Regions from separate parts of the Mus musculus genome. Here regions 1, 2 and 4 are each reported to be linked to region 3. The links are microRNA targets in miRTarBase. Many come from high-throughput screens and were not tested one by one. Region 3 holds a microRNA gene; each other region holds the end of a gene's coding sequence.

What was found. Region 3 holds the annotated microRNA mmu-miR-717 (CUCAGACAGAGAUACCUUCUCU, at 1,889-1,910, shown strand). A microRNA usually pairs through its seed, bases 2 to 8, with sites in the 3' UTR of a target mRNA and lowers its output. Matches are read on the target gene's strand: a 7mer-m8 pairs with bases 2 to 8, a 7mer-A1 pairs with bases 2 to 7 and ends in A, and an 8mer does both.
Region 1: the mRNA of Ifnar1 is a reported target of mmu-miR-717. Seed matches in the 3' UTR shown: 7mer-A1 at 1,235-1,241 and 8mer at 2,268-2,275.
Region 2: the mRNA of Ogdh is a reported target of mmu-miR-717. The part of its 3' UTR that is shown has no 7-base or 8-base seed match.
Region 4: the mRNA of Nup133 is a reported target of mmu-miR-717. Seed matches in the 3' UTR shown: 8mer at 1,801-1,808 and 8mer at 1,386-1,393.

The regions. Positions count from the first base shown.
Region 1 is chr16:91,505,105-91,508,235 of GRCm38, forward strand. Ifnar1 (interferon (alpha and beta) receptor 1) reads left to right here. Exons shown (of 11, transcript NM_010508.2): 11 at 1-3,131. The coding sequence ends at 307. Among named protein-coding and RNA genes, the nearest start is that of Mir6367, 21 kb to the right of the region's middle.
Region 2 is chr11:6,355,393-6,358,530 of GRCm38, reverse strand. It overlaps Ogdh (oxoglutarate (alpha-ketoglutarate) dehydrogenase (lipoamide)), which reads right to left. Exons shown (of 23, transcript NM_010956.4): 22 at 3,086-3,138; 23 at 1-2,977. The coding sequence ends at 2,857. Among named protein-coding and RNA genes, the nearest start is that of Zmiz2, 38 kb to the left of the region's middle.
Region 3 is chrX:52,421,371-52,424,370 of GRCm38, reverse strand. Mir717 (microRNA 717) reads left to right here and starts at 1,856; the gene lies at 1,856-1,964. All of the region lies in intron 3 of Gpc3 (glypican 3), which reads left to right.
Region 4 is chr8:123,896,716-123,899,853 of GRCm38, forward strand. Nup133 (nucleoporin 133) reads right to left here. Exons shown (of 26, transcript NM_172288.2): 26 at 408-2,795. The coding sequence ends at 2,659. It overlaps Gm29773 (a long non-coding RNA gene), which reads left to right. Exons shown (of 3, transcript XR_879336.3): 3 at 2,335-2,421. Among named protein-coding and RNA genes, the nearest start is that of Gm29773, 3.5 kb to the left of the region's middle.

The DNA.
Region 1 (3,131 bases), not on the chromosome of region 3:
GCACACGGAAAGATGCTTCATCATTGAGAATACAGACACGGTCGCTGTAGAAGTAAAGCACGCGCCTGAGGAGGACCTCAGGAAGTACAGCTCACAGACCAGCCAGGACTCGGGCAACTATTCCAACGAAGAGGAGGAGAGTGTGGGCACCGAGAGCGGCCAAGCTGTGCTCTCCAAAGCTCCCTGCGGGGGGCCATGCAGCGTGCCTAGCCCTCCTGGGACCTTGGAAGACGGGACCTGCTTCCTGGGAAATGAAAAATATCTTCAGAGCCCAGCCCTGAGGACAGAGCCAGCTCTTCTCTGCTGACAGGTGCTCGGCCCAGGCTGGGGGCCGTGTGGAGGAGACAGACTTATCTGAAGTGGCTGCCAGCTTCTGCTGCCAGCTGGAAGCCCTGGGTGCTGTTTGTGCCACAGATGAGGCTCACTGATGTCAGGCATCTGGTGGTTCTGTCTCGGTGTTTGTCCTCTAGGTGACATTTAGAACATTCCGATTTTTAATCCTGCCGTAGCCCCTCAGTGTGTCACAGGTACCATTGTCTACAGCCGCGCTTCCTAACCCATACCTCACCACAGCCGTGGCTTCTGACCAGAAGTCACTGAAACCATGGAGAAAGGGGACACTAACTGGAGGAGCTGGCGTTGTTTAAGATCTCAGTGTGGCCTGGGTGTGCCCGTTGTACTCTAGTACTTGCAGAACTAGAAAATGCCAGGGACAAAAAGCAGGCATGAACCATTCAGTAAGAGAGAAGCTAGTGAACCTGATGGTGAAAGAAGACCGTGTCCAGTCAGTGTTTGTGTGAAGGCCCTGTGCTGCTCTCTGTAGCCTTCCCGTGGTACTTATAAAACCAGGCCGAACCCTGTCCTCTGTCCGGCACTATTCAGGTCCCTTCCCAGCTCCAGGTACTTAAAAAACAAAGTGTTGGGTCCTGGGGTGAGGGAACAGCTTCGACGGCACAGTGCTGCCTGCAGGCGCCTATAAGTGACCTTAGATGAATGCTCCATGAGCATCTTCGGTAGGCAGGACATCCAGCAGTGCTGGTGGCTCCAGGGCAGACTCAGTTGCAGGCCAAAAAGGAAGAGAGAGGAGTCATAGCCCTGCCCCAATCGAGCTTGTTGCTCGCTGCACTGCGCCTTTGTAATCAATCTTGGTTTTTTTGTTTTGTTTTGTTTTTTTTAACTTTTAGGTGATAACATATTCTCAGATATAGCACACAAGAGACACTACACAAATTACGTCTGAAAGTTTTGATAGAAAAGAGCTTTTGACTGGGGTAGACAGCTTGCTCCTCACTACTACCTTGTATCTCAGTCTCCTCAACAGAGAGAGAATGCAGATTGATTTTCATCCTGAGTTTTATTTTCTTGCCCGGTTTCTGGGTTCGGGTGTGCTTTCAAGGCTCTGAACAGCTTGTCTGCCCACAGGGGAGCCCGGAGACCCAGCCTTTTGGCTAAATGTTGCAGGTTCCTGTACTTGAAGGACTCCAGCTCCTCTGTAGAGGGCATGGTCATCGCGGTCTGCAATCACGCTGATACCCAGAAAAATGGCCACACAACTCAAATCTGGTGCCACGCTTTAATAATTCTACCCAGCACGGCCCAGCCCTGTTCACGGCGGAAAAGCTCCTTCTGCCAGGACAGCCTGTGAAGAAACAAGACCTCCGAGGACGTGGCCAAGGAAGGCCCAGATGCTAGCGGGAAGTTGTTAGTTGGCACTCTTTCATCTCTCAACAACTGTGACACAGGTCTTCAGGGTGAAGCCCAAAGCAGCTATCGGTTGCAGCAGCGGGTAAGGAGGGGGCTTCACCTGAGCCTGGCCTTCTGGGCGAGCAGTTCTACCTGCACACTTCAAGACAGCCTCCATGACCCTTTTCACGGCACACCGCCTGCTTTTGGTGTGACCGGGGTTTCCTGTGCAGGCACATGTTCTTAAGGAATGCCATGCACACAGGCCTGAAGAGCTGGCTCAGCGGGTAGAGCACAGGTTGCTCTTGTCTGGGATCTGAGCTCTGTCCCCAGCACCCACAGAGTGCTTCTGGTTGCCTCAGACTCCAGGGGTGCACAAGGCCATGTAAGCAAAGACATGTAAGCAAAGACAGTTGTACACAGAGAAGTCAAACCTTTTTGAAAAAAAGAAACACCACGGGCTGGAGAGATGGCTCAGTGGTTAAGAACACTGACCACTCTTCCAGAGGTCCTGAGTTCAATTCCCAGCAACCACATGGTGGCTCACAACCATCTGTAATAGGATCTGATGCCCCCTTCTGGTGTGTCTGAAGATAGCTACAGTGTATTCATATATAAAATAATAAATACATCCTTTTTTTTCTTTTTTTACTATTGGATATTTTCTTTATTTACATTTCAAATGTTATCCCCTTTCCTGATTTACCCCCCTCCCAGAAGCCCCCTATCCCATCCCCCCTCCCCTGCTTCTATGAGGGTGTTCACCCACCCACCCACTCCCACTTCCCTGCCCTTGATTCCCCTACACTGGGTTATTTATCAAGCCATCATAGGACCAAAGACCTCTCCTTCCATTGATCCATGACAAAGCCATCCTCTGCAACATATGCAGCTTGAGCTATGTGTACTTCTTGGTTGATGGCATAGTCCCTGGGAGTTCTGGGGCAGTGGGGGGTTGGGGGGAGTCTGGTTAGTTGATATTATTCTTCCTATTGGGGTTGCAAACCCCTTCAATGCCTTCAGTCCCTTCTCTAACTCCTCTATTAGGGACCCCGAGCTCAGTCCAGTGGTTGGCTGCTAACATCCACCTCTGTATTTGTAAGGCTCTGGCAGGGCCTCTCAAGAGACAGCCATATCAGGCTCCTTTCAGCATGTACTTCTTGGCACCCACAACAGTGTCTGGTTTGGTAACGCTGTACGGCATGAATTCCGAGGTGGGACAATCTATGGGTGGCCTTTCATTCAGTCTCTGCTCTACACTTTATCTCCATATTTGCTCCAGTGAGTATTTTGTTCTCCTTCTAAGAAGGACAGAAGCACCCACACTTTGCTCGTCCTTCTTATTGAGCTTCATGTGGTCTGTGAATTGTATCCTGGTTATTTGGAGCTTTGGGGCTAGTATCCACTTATCAGTGAGTACATATTGTGTGTGTTCTTTTGTGATTGGG
Region 2 (3,138 bases), not on the chromosome of region 3:
GGTGCTCTTACCCACTGAGCCATCTCACCAGCCCGGGAAGGGCATTTCTGAAAGGAGATGAGATGGTAGACACAGGCAAAAAGGAAGGATGCCATAGGAGGGAAATGTAGGCAGGTGAGATGGAGGGTTAGCCAGGATAAGAGGAGGACAAAGAGACCAATAGGAACACCATGATATGCCTTTGTGTGTAATAGTGTCTTGACGTGTGTGTGTGTTGTGGTAGTTGTTAAAGGATTCAAGACTCCTTCATGGGGGTGTCAGTGCCTGGTATTAGAAGCTTGTCTAATAAGCCAGGCCTGTGGAGATAGCTGTCCCTGTGGACTTAACTAAGCTGGTGTAGTAGCACGTTGCTTTCTATTTTTTTTTTTTTAAAGATTTATTTATTTATTTATTATATGTAAAGTACACTGTAGCTGTCTTCAGATGCACCAGAAGAGGGCATCAGATCTCATTACGGGTGGTTGTGAGCCACCATGTGGTTGCTGGGATTTGAACTTAGTCGGGTGCTCTTACCCACTGAGCCATCTCACCAGCCCAACACGTTGCTTTCTAAATACCTATTTAAACCGTTAGACAAAAGAGGTGCCCAATTTTCATCAGAGAAGCATTTTCTTTTTTTTCTTTTTCTTTTTTTCGAGACAGGGTTTCTCTGTGTAGCCCTGGCTGTCCTTAAACTCAGAGATCCACCTGCCTCTGCCTCCCAAGTGCTGGGATCAAAGGCGCACGCCACCACGCCCGGCTGAGAAGCATCTTCTTACATTGAATGGTGGTGAATGAACACAGAAGGCAGATGCTTAGCTGCCCAAGATGCAGAAAACAAGTATCAAGATGTGGGTCCAGCCTTCACAACTTACTCATGCCATTGTCTTGAAGGCTCAGAACACTGCAGGAGGGGACAGAAAGCCCCAAATAGCTGGAAGTCAGGGGGAAGGTTACAAAATGACACCTCCTTAGGCTTGACACCTCCACTGCAGGCAACCATAGTTACCTGGCCCACACAAGACCAGTCAAGGAAGAGACTAGCTGCCTCCAAGGACCCTATCCTTCATACAGCTCTACCCTGTTTATTAAATCCCCCTTTCTACAAAGTATATGAATAATAAAAGTCAATTTGATTCTTGAAAGCAAAACAAAATTCAAAAACAAGTGTGGGTCCGTAATGGCCCAGGGCACTGGATACTTTAAACATGAGGGCTGCATGAACTGGCTCCCTCCCCCTCTGAACATGGCACCATAAACCTGGCTCCTCACCATCATCAACCCCAGTAGAATTTATTACCTGGCAGTTATCAGGCTTCACTTGTTTGACCTTATAAAGTGTTGCCCCTGAGCATGCAGATGAGGTATCTTCCAACACCCCTGCCCCGGCCAATGGTCCATGGCCATATAAATCCTGCCCCCCCATGAATGAACTAGCTCTCCTGTGGCGTTCCCAGGTGTACTGCTTATGGAGATCCTGTCCTGCACTCACCCACACCCCGCTAAGCTTCCCTTCCTCTAGTCCAGCTTTGTATGCAAAACAGCCTGGCTGTCCCAAGGGAGAAGGGGATACCAGACAGCAACATGCCGACCACAGGCAGATACAAACTTTGGTCCTGTGAGTCCCACCTCTGAGAGTAAGGGGCATTGTTCCTGTCCCAGGACATTCTCTCCTGGTGCCGACTGTAGTTATTAGACATGCCTAAAACCAAGATAATGGGTGGCAGGGGAAATGAGATGCTGAAGGCCCAGGCTGCGCTGTTGATAATGGCTGCTGCCCATGAGGGGGAACAGAAAGCTGTGGGGCACACATCCAGTTGGCAAATGGCAGCTGGGACCCCCCCACCCCAACAAGAAGACTGTTCTCAGGCAGGCAGGGAGGAGGCGGAACACACGACAGCAGGCAGGCTGGCCATGATAACTTAGTTTATGGGTCAAGCCGATGCAATGCAAAGGTGGTTGTTCTTTTTTCATTTCCTTTTTTTTTTTTAACCAAAATAAATAAATCAGGTGTGTCCCAGTGGAGGTCAAAAGAGGGAGGAAGGACAGCTGGCTCCTTGGGACAACTTGCTCTTATCCACTGATCTGCTTTTGACCTGCCTTGGCACAGCAAAAAAAAGAATTCGTCAACAGCTTCTGTGTGTTCAAGGGAACAACAGAGAAAATGAAGTGACTGGGGAGGGGTCAGGAGAGCAGAGGCAGCAGGACCAAGAGGCAGCAGTGCCTGGCGTTGGGAGCCAATGGAGCTTCTGGGCCGTACTCAGAGCCAAGCTCTCCAGGCGTGGTAGCTGGGGTAAGTTTCCCACATACAGCCCAAACCCAAGAAGGGTAGCAGGGCTAGACTAACATCACTGCTAAAGTCCTCTAAATACCCCATGACAATCTCTATTCACACAACATCCTGATGACTCCCAAATCCTGGCAGCTATAGTTCCTCCATGAGCTCTCAGCTTGGCCCTAGCAAGATGAAACTACTCCTGGCCTTGAATCTGCGACTTGATGGGTGACGAGGGCTGAGTGCTAGTACCCTGGGAAGCCACATAGGGTTCTGTTCCTACCCTGGAGGATTGCACTGGGGGCATGGGTGGGGCCAGAGCTGCCTTCCTTCTCTAGGATGTCCTGAGAGGGGCCCTTTCCTTATTCTGCTCCTTCCGGTCTCCATGAACGGTGTGCAGCCTGAGAGAAGTCGGCACAGGCTGGGCAGCATGTGACCGGGGAGCAGCTGAGCACTGCAGTGGACAACTTAATTCCTATGAGAACAGGGGTGGTGTGGCACAGCGAAGGGACGTGTGGACAGTGCTGAGGCACTATTCTTTAGTTGAGAAGCAAAGAGCGTCATGGACATGGGGGCCATGGCCTCATCAACTCCAGGAGCATCTAAGAGAATTTCTTGAATGCGTCCAGGTCAAAGGCTGTGTCCAGAAAGCGCTGCAGCTCTGTCAGGTGTGTTTTCTTGTTGCCAGTGGCTGGAGCAGCTGCCGGGTCTCGGCCAGCATACCTGAGAGAAACAGAGAGGGGGAGTGACAAGGATGAAGTCAGAGGTGGCTCCTGCCTGTTCTCTAGCTTGCTTCCAGATCTTCCAGGCCATCAAGGACTTGGGTCTTACCAGACAGGCTTAGCACGGTCAATGGTGGTACGAAGTCTTGGCTTGACATAGTC
Region 3 (3,000 bases):
CTGTACTGAAAATTTCCCTCCAAAAGGTATTAATAATAATAGCTCCAATCCGATCTTCAAATGGATTGATTACATATCTTACCCCAAAGTGAGCACTGATCCTTTGAGTGTACTTGGGTAAAATTTGATCAGCATGTTATTGAATTCCACATTTTATACCTCGAACTAAATATAGAATGTGTTTACTTTCAGCACTGCTGATTACCATGGCTTCTTTTTTTTCATAATACAGAGAATGGAGTCCAGCTTTGTGTACATGTTAGGCAACCACTCTACCATTCACAGCCCCTGTAAAACGTATTTAAAACATCTATAGTTTTTGTCTCAGAGTCACCTTGATTACCATTACCATATATCTACATGTAGATTATGTGTATTTCATGTACAACTCACTCATCTGTTATATGTCTGGCATTTATTCCTCTCCCAGAATAGTTGCCAAAATTTTCTGTAGCTAATCTCATTGACTGTCTTTAGTCCACAATAGAATTGCTCATATACTCTTTTGTTGTTGTTTATTTCCAAGAATGTAATTTAATTACAGCATTTCTCCCTTCCCTTTCCTCCCACCTAACCCACCCTGCTCTCTATTAAGTTCACGCTCTTACCCTCTTGCTTGGCTGCTGGCAGTTTTCTTTTTCCATATTTGCTAGTGTACTTTGCTGACTCTCCTTAGCATGCCCCTGGGTTAGGGTTTCCTGGACCACAATTTTACTACCTTGACTTAGACCGTTTCACTGAAAGTTGTACAAAATTTCTTTGTATCACCACCCTTTCTCCCTTTCTTCTGTCATTGTGACTCACTTTGGAACTCCCTGGAAGAGTTTCTGCAAATGTCTATTACACATTTCATCATGCAAGCCATGTGCTGGACACTGAGCATCATCAAGAGGGTAGGGAAGCTGAGCATAGAAGATTCTTTTGCTCCATTTAGGGGGTCACTAAGCCAGCAGGTCTCAGAACTCAGATTCAGAGCTGGGCCTGTCTGACTCCCAAGTTCTTGCTTGTTACCATGACTCTATATTGCTCTCTCAAACACTTCCATTCTCTATTCACTAGAATCTTCGTTCCCCAAACACAGCCTAAATTGGTTTTTTATTATATTATTTAATATCCTGTATTACTCCCTACTGTTTTTCCAGCTGCACAATCAATTTTTGAATTCATTCTCTCTCCATGGAGACTCTTGCTCTACTATTTCCCAATGAAGAACTAAAAGACATGAGGTTGTTTTTTTTCCCCTTTTCTCTTTTCCTATTCCTAACACTTAAAGGAACAGAATAGTTTCTAAGAGAATATTTGTATAAGCTCTACCTGTTAGTGTTGTCAATGTTGAAAACTCTATTAAATTCCACTTGCACTGTTGAGTCCCCACCCACTGGAACAACAGAGAGCCATCTTGGTTTTTGCAGCGATGGAACTCAGGGCCTTGTGCATGTTAAGTGTTTGCTCCGACACAGAGCTGAATCACCAGCTAGCCTCAAAGACAGTTTTCACGCTATCTGGTATTTATCCTGAATATCGAATTATATTCAGACGTCTACTTTGGTCTTTCCTTAGGTAGTAACTTTGTCTACTGAAAGCCTAACCTATGCCAATATCTGGGCACACCCATTTCTTTGGCTACAATGTTTGAAGAAGCAATACAGTCAGTATTTAATCATGGATGGTAGGAAGCTTGGAGGCAGATTCTCCCTTTGAGCTGCAATAATAATTCACTGTCAAATTCGTGCATTTTGCTGTCTGTGTGAGTGACTGTAAGTCATCAGAATTTCCAAGATTAGCCTTACCTTTCGTCTCTGCCTTTGAAGGCTGAGGCCATTTCTCAGATGTCAGTTTGTCCGAGCTTCTCTCCTTGTCCGCTATCACTGTACCGTCATTTTTCAGTCTCAGACAGAGATACCTTCTCTGAATTCATAGAAGCTGCTCTCCGTTCCGAAGGGATTCAGAAGTGATAAATCCAGCAACTATCTCAGTACCTCATTAGTGTCTGCAGGCCAGCATCGGAAACTGCAATAAGCAATATTATTCAAATGAGGTTCGTTTCAGACATGACAGAAAATTTACATTCTGTCATCTTTTTTTTTTTAACATTCACAATAAAAATAGTGTTAGTGGTTGCTATCGGACAAAGGTGGTGATTTGGTCTCTTGTTCTGTTTTGAGGATTCTTTCACAGACTGGCACTGAACATATGGTCCTACTGTCTCAGCCTGAGAAAGGTTAAACATAGATGACCTAATTATTGAAAGACTGACTACAAGGAAGAATTGACGCTATTGAGTGTTAATTTCACAGGAACTTTCCAAAACTAATCATATGAAGAAAGCTTTTGAATGTTTCATCCTGATGTAACCATGCAGATTTTACATTACTTTAGGCAATAAAATAGGCTCTCTGCAAATCTAGCATTGTTTGCCTTCACCTAGGTGAGGGACAGCGTGATGATGAGAGTTGCTCTTTCGTGCTGTCTTCGGGAATATGTTTCTAAATCTCTTTTCCATGATCAATGAACTGATAAGATGAGAATATGCTCTCAACAACTGTGGAAAGTCTGGGATTTCTCCTCAGTTACAAGCTAATACGTCGGTCAACTGCCATTTTACGGAAGCCAGTTAAAGGCATGAGTTAAGGGCAGAACCATTGATTTCTCACAGCAATGGCGGTAACCAGAGGATCAGCATTTGTGTCTAATTCCCTAGCCTCAGTTGCCATGGGGCAAGGCAGAGAGGGCTGGATAACACCTGCAAATGCAATGCGGTGCTTTACTAGAGAGCATTTTCAGCCTAGAGAACTCAAATGTATCCTTAGCACTACAAGAATAAAACCAAGCAAGAGCGTGATCTCTTGGTCTAATGGCTAGATTCTCAACATTGAACCTGGGTAACTTATTTCCCATCACTGCTAGTGCTCACTTCTCTGAGTGGAGACACTGTAGCATCCAAGCTACACAGACACTACATAAAGATACTTGGAAGAGATAGTTTGCAGCAAACAGTGG
Region 4 (3,138 bases), not on the chromosome of region 3:
TGCAGGGCACTTACGCCACCATGCGACACACCCACACCTCTTCTTAATCTCCCCCCCCCCCCCTTTGCCCCTTTACCCCTCACATCCTGTAAGTCCTTGCGGTATCTACCAGAAGCAAACAGGACAACTAACAGGCAGCACGGCAATCCCTCAGTCCTGTTGCAGCCTAGGCTTGTATTAGCATCAGTCTGTCTTTCCCTAGTGAGCAGCAGCACAGGTCGGCTCTACCCTTTCAACTCTTGCAGCAGCAGTTCTGGAACCTCAGAGCCTGACAGGGAAGGCACGCGTGTCACAGGACAGGACAGGACAGGAGAGGGAGCTGGTCCCCTCTCCACTCACACTGGGGACTGAATTCGGGCTGGGCGGCCGAGCGTAAGGAGCTGGTTCTTACAAGTGAAAAGCAGACAAAAAGAAAACCTCGTTTTTATTAAGGCAATGCAGATGCATGCAAGGACCTGCCATCCCAGCAGGAGAAGGAAAACTGGAGCTCCTCTGAGAACAGAAGTCCAAAGGTGTGCTAAGTACTCACCATTGCCCACACAATACAAAAGGTGGTCGACTGAAGCTCATTTCAAAACAGAAGCCCAGCTTCCAGGTCCACCAGTTACTTGTGTTTATTTTGGATATGAGCTCAATGTCAGGCTTCACACGCCTTAAAAAAATTGTTCTAGCCAGGGCTGGTGTGTACACTTGCAGTTTTAGGACTTGGGAAGCTGAGGCACAGGGGCTGAGAGTTTGAGGCCAGCCAGAGTTTATATGCACATATCATACACATATGATAAATATATACAACATATATACACATTGTTTTTCAACATATATTGTATTTTATACATGAATATTATGCCATTCTGAGGACAGACTGGCAGTGGTGGGGGAGGCCACACTGGGAACACTCAGAATGTGGGACCAACCATGACAGCCCGAAACACCATGAATTTGTCTTGCAGACCTCTGGCTCTCCCCATAGCATCCAGTCAAGAGAATAAAACAACAAAACCTTTCCCCCTGTGCTCTGTACAGGTTGCCAGGGCCCTTTCAGGTCCTGACTGACTCACACATCCTCAGAATACAGCACACTCACCTCAGGGACAAGGGTGGCTGCTGCCATTCACAGTCCTAACTAGTTCATGCTGAACTAACGGATAGGCCAACAAGAGAAGGATCCCAAGAATGTACACCGGGTACCAGGAGACAGTCTTAGCTACCTGACTTAGAAACAAATCATTCATTCTTCAGAGATGGATTATGTGACCAGTTTTTAAAACTTAGGAGGGAAAGATATTCAACACTGAAAGTCTTAATTTCATTTTTACTGCTGGAGTAAGTTTACATGCCAACCATTCTGAAGCTGCGATAGTTGCCATAAAGGTTTAGCCCCCTTCTTCAGACAGGTAGGCCATGGCCAGAGCTCTCAGAGCAACATCTCTGGGTAGACCAGCCTTGGCATTACGATGTTTAGGAAGGGACCGTCTACGGTGAGACTAGAAACCATCCTAGGTTTATGAGTCAATACTGGGGTCACAGACAATGCCAGTACCATATCTGGTAGCAATGACAACTTACTGACAGCTCAGAAAGCCACACAAACATCTTACTAAAACACTTTAAGACTTATCCATTATTGATGGATGCAGTGGCCCACACTTTTAATCCTTTAATTTTACACACACACACACACACACACACACACACACACACACACACACACACATATATATATGGCTTTTTTGGCTTTTAAGTTTTAACTTTTTTTTTAAAAAAGATTTATTTTATATATGTGAGTACACTGTCACTGTCTTCAGACACACCAGAAGAGGGCCCTGGGACCTATTACAGATGGTAGTGAGCCACCATGTGGTTGCTGGGAATTGAATTCAAGTCCTCTGGAAGAGTAGACAGCGCTCTTAACCACTGAGCCATCTCTCCAGCCCTGCCCCTTGCTTGTAATTTTTAAATCAATGTAGGAAGTGAGAACATTCCCAGTGAGTTACCAGCTGCCCACCCTCCCGAGTTAGACCCAGGGTTTTGGTTTCTAGGCCACAGTATAAATCAGTGACATCTCATCTTCACTTTGCTAAGCAGGCACTTCCCTTTGCCTCCGACCAAGAGATCAGCTTCTCAGAGACTCCCAGAGTGCCACATGCAGAGGGCAATCTGTTTTCCCCGTCCCCTGCCATCTCCAACACTTCCTCACTTCCGCTGCCCTGCTCTCCAACCTGTAGCATCTTTTAATTGCTGACCCAAATAAACAGACACACTTGCTCAGCCCATAGAACGTTACTTGCATGTAAATTCATGTATATTATTATACACATTCTTATATTTTTTCAGGGCTGGTATTGGACAACCAGTTGGGGAGCGAGGCAACCTGTTTTGTTTTGCTGCCTCTTTGGACCGAGGGAGGCTGGAGAAGGGCAGCTACACAGAAGCAAGGGTGACTTCAGGTGGAAGAGGAGGAGGAAATACCTTACAGCTGAAAAAGAGCATCAGGGCCCCTCCTTTTATATCGCGGCTCCCATATAAAGCATAGAAAACCTGGTTGCTGCAGACAAAACAGACTTCAGGTTGATCCAGACCTAAGTTTTTTGGCCTCAATATTTTTTTTTAATAAGCAAATATTTACACAAATTTTAGAAACAACCATTTCTACAAATGTCACATCTGTCCTTGGACATAATACTCATAATTTGCTTTCAGAACAAACTCAAAGTAAGAGTTGGACTTGAGGCTTCCCAGCTGCTCTGCTCGCAGTAGGTCCGTCACCTCTGGCAAGTACTCGCTGAGCTGGATGCCTGCAAACAGAAGACACGGTCACTTCTGACGGCTGAAACTCCTCCGCACATGAGCAGTACAGCAGCCAGTACTGCTAAGTCACTGAGCGAACATGCCCACACTGCAGCCTCCTCCCATTCAGAGCCCTCAGGGGAATGGCAGCCTCTTCAGAGCCTCAGAGCCCTGCAGGTTCCTATTGGTCAGAGCAGATGCTCCAGAGGAAATCTTCAGTAGAATCTGAAATTTTTTTTTCCCTACAGTTTAAGACATTTCTTCAATGTGTAAGTTTTCAACTAATAGTCATTTCTATGTTGCCCTAATGGGGGAATAATTTAATAGAAACACTGTCACAAAGCTGGCCAC